3 linked regions of the Notamacropus eugenii genome follow. The protein of the gene in region 1 purifies or fractionates together with the protein of each later gene. This does not show direct contact. Links are inferred from orthologs where the notes say so. Each region holds a gene or a part of one and is shown on either strand. Other genes may lie near its edges.

The links.
Region 2: the proteins of CUL4A (region 1) and SKIC8 purify together in Homo sapiens (affinity purification with western blotting; 3 studies listed by BioGRID, with this or other methods). This does not show direct contact. The link is inferred for Notamacropus eugenii from reciprocal best matches to the Homo sapiens genes CUL4A and SKIC8.
Region 3: the proteins of CUL4A (region 1) and DET1 purify together in Homo sapiens (affinity purification with western blotting; 6 studies listed by BioGRID and IntAct, counting the BioPlex papers as one, with this or other methods). This does not show direct contact. The link is inferred for Notamacropus eugenii from reciprocal best matches to the Homo sapiens genes CUL4A and DET1.

Annotation. Positions count from the first base shown.
Region 1 is NC_092877.1:207,996,962-208,000,706, forward strand, and holds the start of CUL4A (cullin-4A), read right to left. Parts: upstream 2,266-3,745; 5' UTR 2,129-2,265; coding exon 1,963-2,128; intron 1,553-1,962; exon of another isoform or gene 1,415-1,552; intron 238-1,414; coding exon 122-237; intron 1-121. UniProt on the Homo sapiens protein: Core component of multiple cullin-RING-based E3 ubiquitin-protein ligase complexes which mediate the ubiquitination of target proteins. As a scaffold protein may contribute to catalysis through positioning of the substrate and the ubiquitin-conjugating enzyme.
Region 2 is NC_092872.1:255,271,841-255,275,585, forward strand, and holds the start of SKIC8 (superkiller complex protein 8), read right to left. Parts: upstream 2,870-3,745; 5' UTR 2,702-2,869; exon of another isoform or gene 2,586-2,701; intron 2,258-2,585; 5' UTR 2,220-2,257; coding exon 2,208-2,219; intron 1,684-2,207; coding exon 1,656-1,683; intron 584-1,655; coding exon 478-583; intron 1-477. UniProt on the Homo sapiens protein: Component of the PAF1 complex (PAF1C) which has multiple functions during transcription by RNA polymerase II and is implicated in regulation of development and maintenance of embryonic stem cell pluripotency.
Region 3 is NC_092872.1:168,076,965-168,080,709, forward strand, and holds the start of DET1 (DET1 homolog), read right to left. Parts: upstream 2,584-3,745; 5' UTR 2,392-2,583; intron 570-2,391; 5' UTR 555-569; coding exon 1-554. UniProt on the Homo sapiens protein: Component of the E3 ubiquitin ligase DCX DET1-COP1 complex, which is required for ubiquitination and subsequent degradation of target proteins. The complex is involved in JUN ubiquitination and degradation.

The sequences.
Region 1 (3,745 bases):
AACAGAATACTCTCCTGGTCAAGCTTAAACATTCTGCAAGTAAAAGAAAATCTGACATTCTCAATTAAATAAGTACCAACATTTTTCCAAAACTCTGCCCCACTGACATTTGAGCACTTACCTGATAGAGTTCTTCAAGATTGTATTTAATGGAGGTGCTACTTTGTATGGCTCTAACTGCTTCATGAAGTTTCTGCCATGTATCCTGAGTATAATTATCTGGCAACTTCGGTCTGTCTGTAAAGCGGGATACAAAATAAAACAGAAAATAGCTTGCTCGTAGCCAATCATTTTAAAAAGCCTACCAAACTATGCATTCAAAACAATGGGCATGTTAGGTTAACACAGAAATCAACTTCATAAATATATCTAGCAAAGTAACATGATTCTTGGGTTAAGTACAAGCAAAATGCAGGTTAACAGTTTCTCTTAAATCTGTAACAATACTGGGCTCCAAAGAATAAGCATTTAAAATTTAAGTACTGATTTTAAATGTTCAGTAATGGATAAATTATCCTGACTCCATTACTAGTATAAATTACATATTAAAGAGGCTTATTTCTAACACTATAGCCAGTTTGTGTAAAGTAGTAGAAAGGTGAATTGCTATGTACCTAGTACCATCACAGAAAGTAGTACTGCTTTTTTGCTATAGTGATACTTATTAACAGTATTGGATGATACTTTTTTGGGAGAGTGGAAATGGTCTGGGCTTGTAATTTCATTGTGGTAGGGAATTCCTAACATGCAAATTCCCTTCCCGAGTGCAACCCTCAAAGTTTTTAAGAGTTTCTAGGGTACGGAGAAGCTGAGTAACTTGCCCATGGTCACAGTGCTAATATGTATCAGACGCAGGACTTGAACTGACTCCAAGGTCAACTATCCACCACATATTTGCCTCACACAATTAACAAGCCTTTTTAGACGTGTTTCAAATCTAGAGTGTTTAGGCTCACTTATCAACTCTACAAGAATAATTTGATATTTGATAAAAACACTGTTAACTAAAGTACACTACCACAGTACTATTTTATTACAGAAACTTTTAGACTAGCCAAGCCAGTTTTAAAAAGTCAAATGATCTCTTAAGGAGTGATGAGCGTTATTGCTGAGATCTAAAACAAACTTTACAGAGCCTTAAGACCCTCTTATGAACATTAAGAAATGACAATTTGTATTGTCACCACACTAGGAAATAAATTGTCCAGCATCACAATCACTGCTGAAACTTAAGCCCTCCCACATTCAACACCTGTGAAGATTTACTGACATTTCTGAATATTCCCGCTAACAATCGACAGAAGGATACAAAGTATCGCCACAAATGGGGAAATGATTTAACGCACAAAGGTCCACTATTAACGTCTGCTTTCTCCCTCTACGTAAGAGCCTAACCAGAGGGCTGGAGGGAGTCAGTCGGGACCCCTCGGACTAGCGACTTAGGGGGCGGGGGCCGGGGCTATTTCTGACAATAAGAAAGGAAGAGGAGGATTATCTCTCGCCAGCGCACTGGAGTGGGAGGGCCCCGGCCGACTGAACGAGGTCACCAAAGGTCAGCGCAGCGCGTGCAGGCGGCGGCCCTCCGCCGAGCCCCTTCCCCATTGGCTGCCGCTGAAGTCATGCAGCTCAGGGAATCCTCCGGCAGCGCCGAGTCGAGCTAGCGGGCCGCCGCCGCCGCCGCCTGGAGGTTGGGGGGGCAGGAAACAGTCTTCCCCCCTTCCCTTTCGTGCCCCCGTGAAAAAAACACGCTGACACCCTGGCGGATCCCCGCCTCCACGGCGGCGCGCACCGCGGGGGGAGGGGAGAAGGGACGGGTCAGTCTGGAGGAAACAACCCCCCCTCCCCGGGGCCCTGGGGGTGGGGAGAAAGGGGAGCAGCCCAGACGCGGCCCGGCCCGGCCCGAGCTGGCCTCCCCGCCCGCCTCCCTCCGCGCCCTCACCTCGTTTGCACACACTTACCTACCTCTGAAATTTTTAATCACTAATTTCTTTGAGGAGCCGCCACTGCCCCCGCCCCCCCCGGGTTTCGTGGCGACGGCGGCCGCCGCCAGGGAAGCGGGTTTCGTGAGGCCATTGGTGTGTCCAACGAGAGCCGAAAAGTTCCCCTTCTTGGGGGTCTCGTCTGCCATGTCTACTGCCGAGAAAACAAACCCGCGGCGGCCGCTCCGCCCCCCCACCGGGGCCCCGTTCCCTCCTCCTCCTCCTCTTCCTCCTCCGGCCGCGGCCCCGGGCTCGCTTCCTCCTCCTCCTCCTCCTCCTCCTTCTTCCCCCAATGCCCCGGTCTCTCCGCCTACTTCTCCTCCCCCCGCCCGGTGCCCGGGTCCCTCCTCCGGAGGTGAGAACTAGGCCCCGGCGGGGGACAGCTCGGGGAGTTCCAACCAATCTCCTGCGGGAGACCACTGGGGGAGGGGGAGTAAGGGGGGCGGGTGGGGGAGGGGCGGTTCTCTACTGGTCCCTTTCCCCCCACCTCTCCCTGGATGATTCAAGTGATCGGTGCTACTACCGCCCGGCTACGGGGTGAGGACCTGACTGGTGTACCGCCGGCCCGACCCAGGGCTGCTCCGGAGTCTCCTCCCACCGCCGCCCCCCTCCTCTTCCTCCTCCTCCCGGAGGTTCAAATCTCCGAGGCGCCTCCCCGGCCCTTCTCACAAGGTGGCACCTCCTTCTTCTCCGAAGAACAGGAGAAATGGGGCCCAGCGAGGAGGCCTCAGAGCGTCGAGGTGGGGGGAGCGGCCGACGGGTGGGAAGCCCGCGGCTGCCAACCGACCCCCAAGAGGCCGGGCTCCTCAGCTACCTCCCCTGCCCCAGCACACACGTTCCCCACCCCCACCCCCGCCAGCCTGGGTGACTTCCGCGCGACGCCCCACGAGCCGGCCTCCCACGTGCCCACCCCAACCGTCAGGCTCCTCCACACGCGCCCGCGCACACCCGGACACCCCGCACACACTTCCTATTGTTCACCTGGCCCGCCTCCCCTCCCCCTTCCCTTCCCTTCCCTCCCTCAGGTGCGAGCGGCCCGGACGCCCTATTCTTCGCGGCGACCATTGTGTGTTCCCATCCGGCCCTGTGGGGCGGGGACGGTGTGCTTTACACGCGGGAAGCCGAGTCTTCCGGACTTTCCCGCTGGTGGTGTCAAGGCCGAGAAGGGTTAGGAAGGGCCCCTCTTAACGACCCGCCGGGCGAGGCGTCAAGCCGGGCACGCCCGAAGGCCGAACCGCCCCTCTGGCGGCCGCCATTCCGGTGACGTAGAGGCGGGGCGACCAGAGGAAAGAAGAGGCGAATGGAGAGGCGGGGAGGAAGAGGAGGGAGGCAACCTTTCTGAGACGGCAAGCTTAGTCAGTCACAAAAGCATTACACAATGTTATTTTTTGTAAAAAATTTAATTCGCCCTGAGCCTAGAAGCGGCGTCGGCCGGCCGGCACCTCAGTCTTCGGGTGGACCCAGCCCTAAAATCGCGGCCACGGAGCACTTCCAAAGCGGCTCCAGAAAGAAAACTTTCAGTCCTTCTTCCTACCCGCCCCGGCAGCCGCGATCCCTGGTTCCGGCCCCGGTCAGTCCTCAGACACGCGTGCGGAGAGCCCTCCCTGCTGCTTCCCCCACCCACGGGGTGGCGTCCTTATCCTCGGCCCCGGAGTGAATCCGTAGTCCAGCACTCCCCGCTCCCCACCGTGCCCATGCCGGACCGGAGCCTCAGACGCCTGGGTTCCAGAAGTCGGTAGAAAAACAGGAGCGCGCGCACGCCTCCG
Region 2 (3,745 bases), on another chromosome or scaffold:
ATATGGTTAGATGCTAGAGAATAGATGAAAATATTTTAACGATATATGTGTGATAGGGCCATTAGGACATTTTAAAACTTACACATAGGAGGGTGTAAGGCTGAAAGAACATTAGCTGTCCCTCCTTTCCTACAACTCAGTATTTTCCTGATTACAACCACTGGTTTGTTTTTTTCAGTAGTTGTAATTTTCCCTAATAAATATTTCTTCAATTAATCTATCCCACCCCCCTCCACAAACATACCCAGAGAGCAAATTAAAAAACAACAAAACAAAAACATAAATCCCTCAGTACAGATTCACATAGTTTGGTAAAACAAATTCCCACATTAGTCACATCCAAAAATGTATATCTTTTTGCAATTTAAACTCACCACTGTTGAAACCAAAAAAAAAAAAAAAACCAAAAGATCATGTAACCTGATGAAAATTCAAAAACTTTATTTAAGCCTAACACTCCCAGAAAAATTGACTTACCATTTCCACACTTTGACTAGATCATCCAAGGATCCTGAGACAATCATTTCAGAGTTCTCTCTTTGATTTGTCCCCCAGGCAACTGACCAGATGGCATCATCATGAGCTAGGACAGGGAAAAAGAGTTATTCATCACAAGAGGGTTGGTCACTAGGTGATAAAATGTTTCAAGCAAAAGAACTCAAAAAGACATATACTATAGGGGGAATCTGTGAGCAGAATGAATATCCACAACAATGAAATCATAGATCTTTGACATACCGAAGTTATGTTTCAATCATGTGTATAAAATTTATACATATAGTTCCATAACTCCAAAAACAAAGATATTAAAATAGGCTTAAACTGGACAACAGAACATTGAGGGGGGGAAAAAGAAGTGCTAGCTGGGAAGTTTCCTAGAAATCATGAAATCCAGCCCAGTGGCACAGAGATGTCATACACTTACCAATCCTTGTTGGATTAAAATATTATCCACCATGGGCTATCTTTTTTCAGACCAGACCTGTGATTTCATTATTATAGAAAATATCTAGTGAGGAATTTCTTCTACCATTGCAAATCCACACTTTCTCTGCAACTTAAATAGAGGTAAAGTTGCTGGCAGCAGAAAGAGTCTACATGACTCATCCAGAGTCACAGAGTAAGGATGTGACACCAGCAGGAATGAACTCAGGTCTGCCTAAGAGGTCCACTTGCTAACCACTACATCATGCTGCCTCCAGTACAATCACATCCCTTGTGCAAAGGGTAAACTATTTCAATCTGTGGGCTGGAGGCTCTTGCTGTGTGGAGCAGTGTATTTTTGTTCATCTTCAGAACTGCAAGTCAACTGAGAGAGGTATTTGATAAAAGGTATTTTAACATCAAAAGACCTGGGTTCTAGGCCCATCTCTAACCCAAACTTGTTGTGTGACCATGGGTAAGCATGTACCCAAAAGGAATTTATATCTGATGCCTGAAGACCAGCCTCTGTTAGGTTTAGAGAGAGAGGTTCCACACTAGGTTGGCTGAAGGACACAGAATTTTTCAGTCATAGCAAGTGACCCATTGTACTCCCTAAAAACCCACAAGACCAAGTAAGGATGGGCTCAGGAACTGCAGCTCTGCAGAACAAGGAATCTTGAAAGCTGTTGCTTTCTGATGAGAAACCAAAGGCCAGAAGACTGTTTCCATACCTTGTTCTTGTTTGAAGAGAATGCTATACTGAAAAGAGAAGAGTCATCACGTCACACAACTGATCAGAGCTCCACAACAGACCTTCTCTATCCAAGGGCCCCTCGCTCCCACAACATCCCCCAGGCATCTTCCCTGACTGCCCCTCGTACAGCCTGTGCGGGGCGGAGGGGCCCCTGAGGCCCCTGGACCAGCATCCTCATTTAGCAGACCGGGCAGAGTTTGCCGGCCAGTCTTCTGGTGTGTTTATACCTCATCTCCGCACCTCGGCCACATAACCTGGGCAGACCAGGAGCTGCCTTCTTAGACACTTTTCTGTCACCTACGTGAACTTGCAAAGGACAAACGCCTTGTTCGGTTCTCTCCAGCCCGTCTGACTCTCTGGGCCCCCAGCAGGGGGGCCATTTCCTTCTCCAGCCCATTTCACAAAGGAGGGGACTGAGGGTCACCAGGCAGCACAGAGTATCTGACCCAATGAGCCCCATCCTGCCACACCACACCCTGCTTCTCTGGGGGAGCCCTCAGCCCCAGGGCGCAGCCTCTTCGATGCTCACCTGGACACTCATCTCTTCCGCTTAGGGCGAGCGACCATGGGCAGACTGCTCTGGGGAAGAAGTGGGTGTTACTGGTAAAGGGAGGGCCGGCCTCGGAGGAACCCCTACCCCAGGGGCACCCCACCCCGGCCTTTGTTTACCCCGGACACGAAGGCCGTCTCCCCGGCACGGCTGGGGGCCGTGCGGCCTCACGGGCTGGGGAGAAGCCGAGAGGCCCCGGCGCAGCGTTGTCACCCCAGGGCCCGCCCGGCCGCCGCTTACCACACCCAGGGGGGCCCCTTTTACGGAGGGTCGGGGACGGGATCCCCCAGCCGGTGGCGGGCACGCGGCCCCCCGCACCCCCTTCCTGAGGGGAAGCCCGAGGCAGTGTGCTCCCACCTTCTCAGCGGCCGAGGGAGAGGGGGGCTTGGGCGGGCAGACAACCTGACCTAGGCCAGGCCGGCCCGCCTCCTTCGCCGCGGCCCGCTTGGGCTTTCCCCTGGTCCCTGCCTCACCCGCTCTGGGCTCTCCTGCTCAGCCTGGACTTCCCTCGCCGAGGCCTTCCTCTCTCAGCCTCTTCCTTAGCGACAGCGGCACCGGGTAATGACGTACGAGCTGAGGATGCCGGCGCACGGCGCGCTAGGGTGACGCCACGACGCCGCGTGAGCTCCGCGGTGGCGTCCGGTCGCCCCCTGCTGGGCTCAGGTGAAAAGGAAAGAAGAATGAGGAGGTCCTCGGGCCCCGCCCACTGCGGTGCTGGCTCCGCCCCCATCCCTAGGGCCCCGCCCTTCCTTCCAGACCACGAATTCCTTTCTCCAGCCCGGAAAAAATTACAACACCTGAGGGGGAACTGTGTGGGCCCCCGGAAACGAGCCCCCAGCCTCTGCCCTCGCGCTTCCGGCTCCGACCAGCCTGGGGACCTAGGGCCCCCGAAGGTCTACACGGCTGCCGGAAGCTTCGGCCACGCGCGTGGAGCGGTCCTGGGGATGGCCTCGGCCCCTTTGCGTACTTGGCACCCCGAGGCAGAGACCCGCCGCCGGCCGTCTCCTCTGGGCCTCCCCACCCCGAGTCCCCGCGGCACGGGCTTCGCCGTCGTTCAGCTCCCGACTCCGGGCATTTGCCCCGGCTATCGGGCTGCCTCCTGGCTTCCTGCGGGCCCCAGCTGAAATCCCACCTTCTATAAGAGCGTTTCTCAGGGGCTCCTGAGGCCGAGCCTCCAGGCCCTGGTGGCCGCGTCAGGACAATTAACTCTCCCCCGCTCCTGCGGGGCCTACTAGAAGCCCCTTTGTTCTCCCCCAGACGTCCCTCCGGGCACGAAGCCCCTGGGTGGTTCAGAGGAGTCAGAAAGGCCCGAGTTCCAATCCAGCCTCAGATCCTTCCTAGCTAGGGGACCGTGGGCCAGTCACGTGACCCCTGCCTCGGTTTCCCCAAATGTAAAACGGATGATAACAGCACCCACCTTCCAAGTTGTTGTAAGGATCCGATGAGATGCCATTACGAAGGGTTAGCCTTGTGCCTGACCCCTAGCAGGACCTCTGTGTAAATGTTAAAGAGTGTAT
Region 3 (3,745 bases), on another chromosome or scaffold:
GGATTTGGTGTCACTGACTCACTGTTGCGATAAACTTCATAAAAAGGAGGATGAGGCTCTTCAGGGAGGTAGGCAGCTGAACCCACAATGACACAACGGCAGTCATCTGTGAAGAGGCTACACTCACGATTTAGGTGTTCACCATTAGCCGCAACATTGGTGATATGCAACAAGACGAAGAAGCGTTCAAAGAGTCGGCCTCGGATGTTGACTGACCTCTGGTCATTGCCATTAGCCAAAATTTCACCCTCATAACCCTGCAGTAGGTCCTCTGCTGCTTGGCAGCCCTGGTACTCGTAAATCTCCAGTGATGTCTGGTCTGAAGAAAAGGCAATAAAGTAGCGCCCATCAGGTGAAAATTTTCGCAGGAAGCAAGGTGGCTTCTCCACATTAACCACAGTAAAGTTGGGGAAGACGTTCTGGTGGAACACTCGAACCTGGTGCCAGTGGGTACCAGCCTTGCCTGAACTGATGCGCCGACGCTCCAAGCGGTGGATAACATTTTGGTTCTGGATTCTTCGAGGTTTGATTGTTGGAACATCATGATCCATCATCACAGCATCTTATTTCTGGATGATTAAGAGCAGAGTGTCACACATAAAATGAAAAAAAAACAAACAAACAAACCAAAAACCCAAGTTCCCTTTCCAAACACACATCATCTCAGGGTTTACCTAAAATCTTCCACCTTTAGGTCACAAGGAAACAAGAGTAAACTTCAAGTCTGTCCTCAGCATGAGAATAATGGGAAGAGCTTAACACACTAGAAATATCTCAAGAACGCTTAGCTATAATGTGTTTCCATCAAAAACATCTGAATCACCAGAATATGTGAATTCAGAGTAAGAATTCCCAGTTAAGAATTCCCTTCCCTAAAACATATGAAGTCATTTTAAAGTACTGCTCTCACCTTAACATTATCAGTAGCCCCAATGTAGAGCATAGACTTTTAAAGAATGATTTAAGAAGCATTAATTCAAATTTAACTTCATTTGAAGACATTTACTATGCATAGTACTTGGACTACAATAAATGCTTGATAAATGCTGGTGATTAAGCACTTACTATTTATGAAGAACTATACTAGGAATTATTACATGCAAAACACTATTTGATTTAAAGACCATGACAAGAGTTTGGTTTCTCCCCCACTCTACCCCCTTTTATGCTGCTCTTCTACTCTAAGAGAATCACTCAAAATTAAGCCAAGATGAAAGTTCAGAAACAGTTTCATAAACCTCTTGTTTTCATACTGTGCTTCTTCCATTTTTTTCCGCAATGTCCTACTGCCGCCTCCCCCCAACAGCATTCAACCCCTCAAAAAGGATGTTGGAGTGGTGGGAAGAGGCCCCTGGCTTCTGATTAAAACTCTCCCCCCCATGCTGGTTTTCTAAATTACTAAGACTCTGGAACTCAATTCACTGGATCATAGGATTCAGAGATAGTTTAAGACAAAAACAAAACCTCAGATCATCTAGAATAAGAAGCTTCTCAACCTTTTTCATTCGTGATATTCTTTGGCTTTAAGGAAACCTTTCAGTTTCAATATGAAAGGAGATATTCTAGAGTTTACCATGCAAGAGCATGTAAGAAATAAAGAGACTCGTTTTTCATACAGAACACTTTATTCAGCGTGTAACACTTTTAGTATCATAAAATAATCACTAATACCACTACTTTTGGACTATTTCAATAAAAAAGCCAAGATATTTACCACTTATTCCCTCAAACCCCTCAACGAGAGGCTCACACCCCGGGGGGGCGGGGTACTTCCACCCCAGACTGGCAAACCCTGATCTAATCAAACCCTTTCCTTTTCATAGACTAAAAAAAAAACTAAGGTCCTGAGGGGAATGAGGCACTTTGCACGGGTATGAACCTAGCTCTTCTGCCTCCCAATCGGCTTCTCTTTCCATGACATCTCCCTGCCTCTCTTATCTATCTTTTCCAGACTTAACCATAGAGGAGTTGGTTTAAGGGCAGTCTCTCCCCATTTCCCCAAGAAGAGGAGAGAGCCGGCGGCAAAGGTTACGGAAAGCGGGGAGTGGGTGGAGTCCGGGAACACCGTGGTGCGGGGCACAAAGCCAGGCAAGGCCGGGGCTGGGCCCCGGGCCCCGGCCCTTACGCCCGGCTGACCTCCGAGGGCCCTTCCCGCTCTAAGCCCTGAGGCTCCGCCAGAAGGGGGAGGCCAGCCCGCGGGGAGCACGACTTTCAGGGGCAGCTGGGCTGGGGCTCGGTTAAACCTCGGGGCGCGGGGGTCCGGGGGAGGGAGGCCGGGGAGGAGCGCGGCCCAGGGTCCGGGCGGCCCGGCCGGCAGGAGGGGGCCGCTGGCCGAGAGGAAGGCCCGAGGACCAGAGAGCCGACGAAGCGGGAGAAGGGGAGCGTCCTCACCCGTCCGTCCCGCGCCCCCCGTCGCGCCGGGCTCATGAGGCCGGGGCGAGGGGATCCCCGGGCTGCGCTGGCCGCACTCCGACGGCCGCCACGGCCGCCGCCGCCACCGCCATGTTGCCACTGACGCCGGCACCCGGCGACAACGGCCGGGATGGCCCCGTTCCCCCCCACCCCCCTCCCTCAGCCGGCCCACGGAAGTGAGGGCCATAGAGTTGGAAGCGTGCGCAGAGAGCGCACCATCGCCTGCCCGGCAAGAGCGAGCGCGCCCCCTGGCGTCCGGAGGTGAGGTGAGCCCGCCTGAGCTCTAAGCGACCACGCCTGCTGAAATTGACTCCCTCCTTAGCAGCCGTTCCCGTTGCCTGTTTGCTGCTCCTGGGGGCACAGGATGATGGAGCGGAGCTGAAGCACGCCTTTTCATTTTACAGATGAGAAAACTGAGGCCCAGAGGAGGGGGGTCACACTGCTAGTGGAGCCAGGATTCCAACCCTAACCCCCTCATCACCCGTCATTAATTACCCTCTGTATGACATTCATTGTTTTGATTCTTCAGACACCGTTCAATTCCATGTCTTGTTACAATGTAGCAATGCCCAGAGCCTGCTGATATTTAAGAGATGGGTGATTGTCGGGGGAGGGGAGAGAGAATTCAGAACTGAAAATATAATAAAATAATGAAGCAAAATAAATTGTGTATAATAAAATAAAAATGAATTTTAAAATATATGTTTAATTTTAAAAGTAAAGCATGGCCCTTGGCTTTCATGGGAACCTGGGTCATTAAAGTAACTTTGTAATTTCCTGAAGGAAATCAGCTCGTGGTCCTCCTGTTCAACTCTGCCCAACTTGTCAGTCAGTATTGTCTGTCTCAGGTATACATATTTGTGGACAAACCTCATAGGTTGCATTATAAATATCCTCTGGATATTGCTAAGTATCTATTAGATTTGAAACATAGTAGTAACATATTTCTTGTAACATTATTCTTCTCTGGAGTTAAAAATGACAATCACATAGAGGAAAATAGAGAAAAGTACAGTGGCTGTGAGCAAGCTATAATATATGACCAATGATGAACTTGGAAGAAGACCAAGAATAAAAATGCCAGGAAAATCAGATGGGCTGGTTATATGTCATGTGGGATTATGGCTACATATCTGGAGTAGTCCACTATTACCTTCCCAATGTTAAAAAGAAAGACCTCCAGCATCATAGGGGGGTCTTCTGTGGTGAATTTTTTGCAAGACATGAGCAAGTCATACAAAATGGTCAAGCATGAATGGATTGCAATCTGAATAGAGAAAGGCTTCCAAATCAATGAGATCAGAGATCCATTTGATCAAGAGTTTCCTCTTGG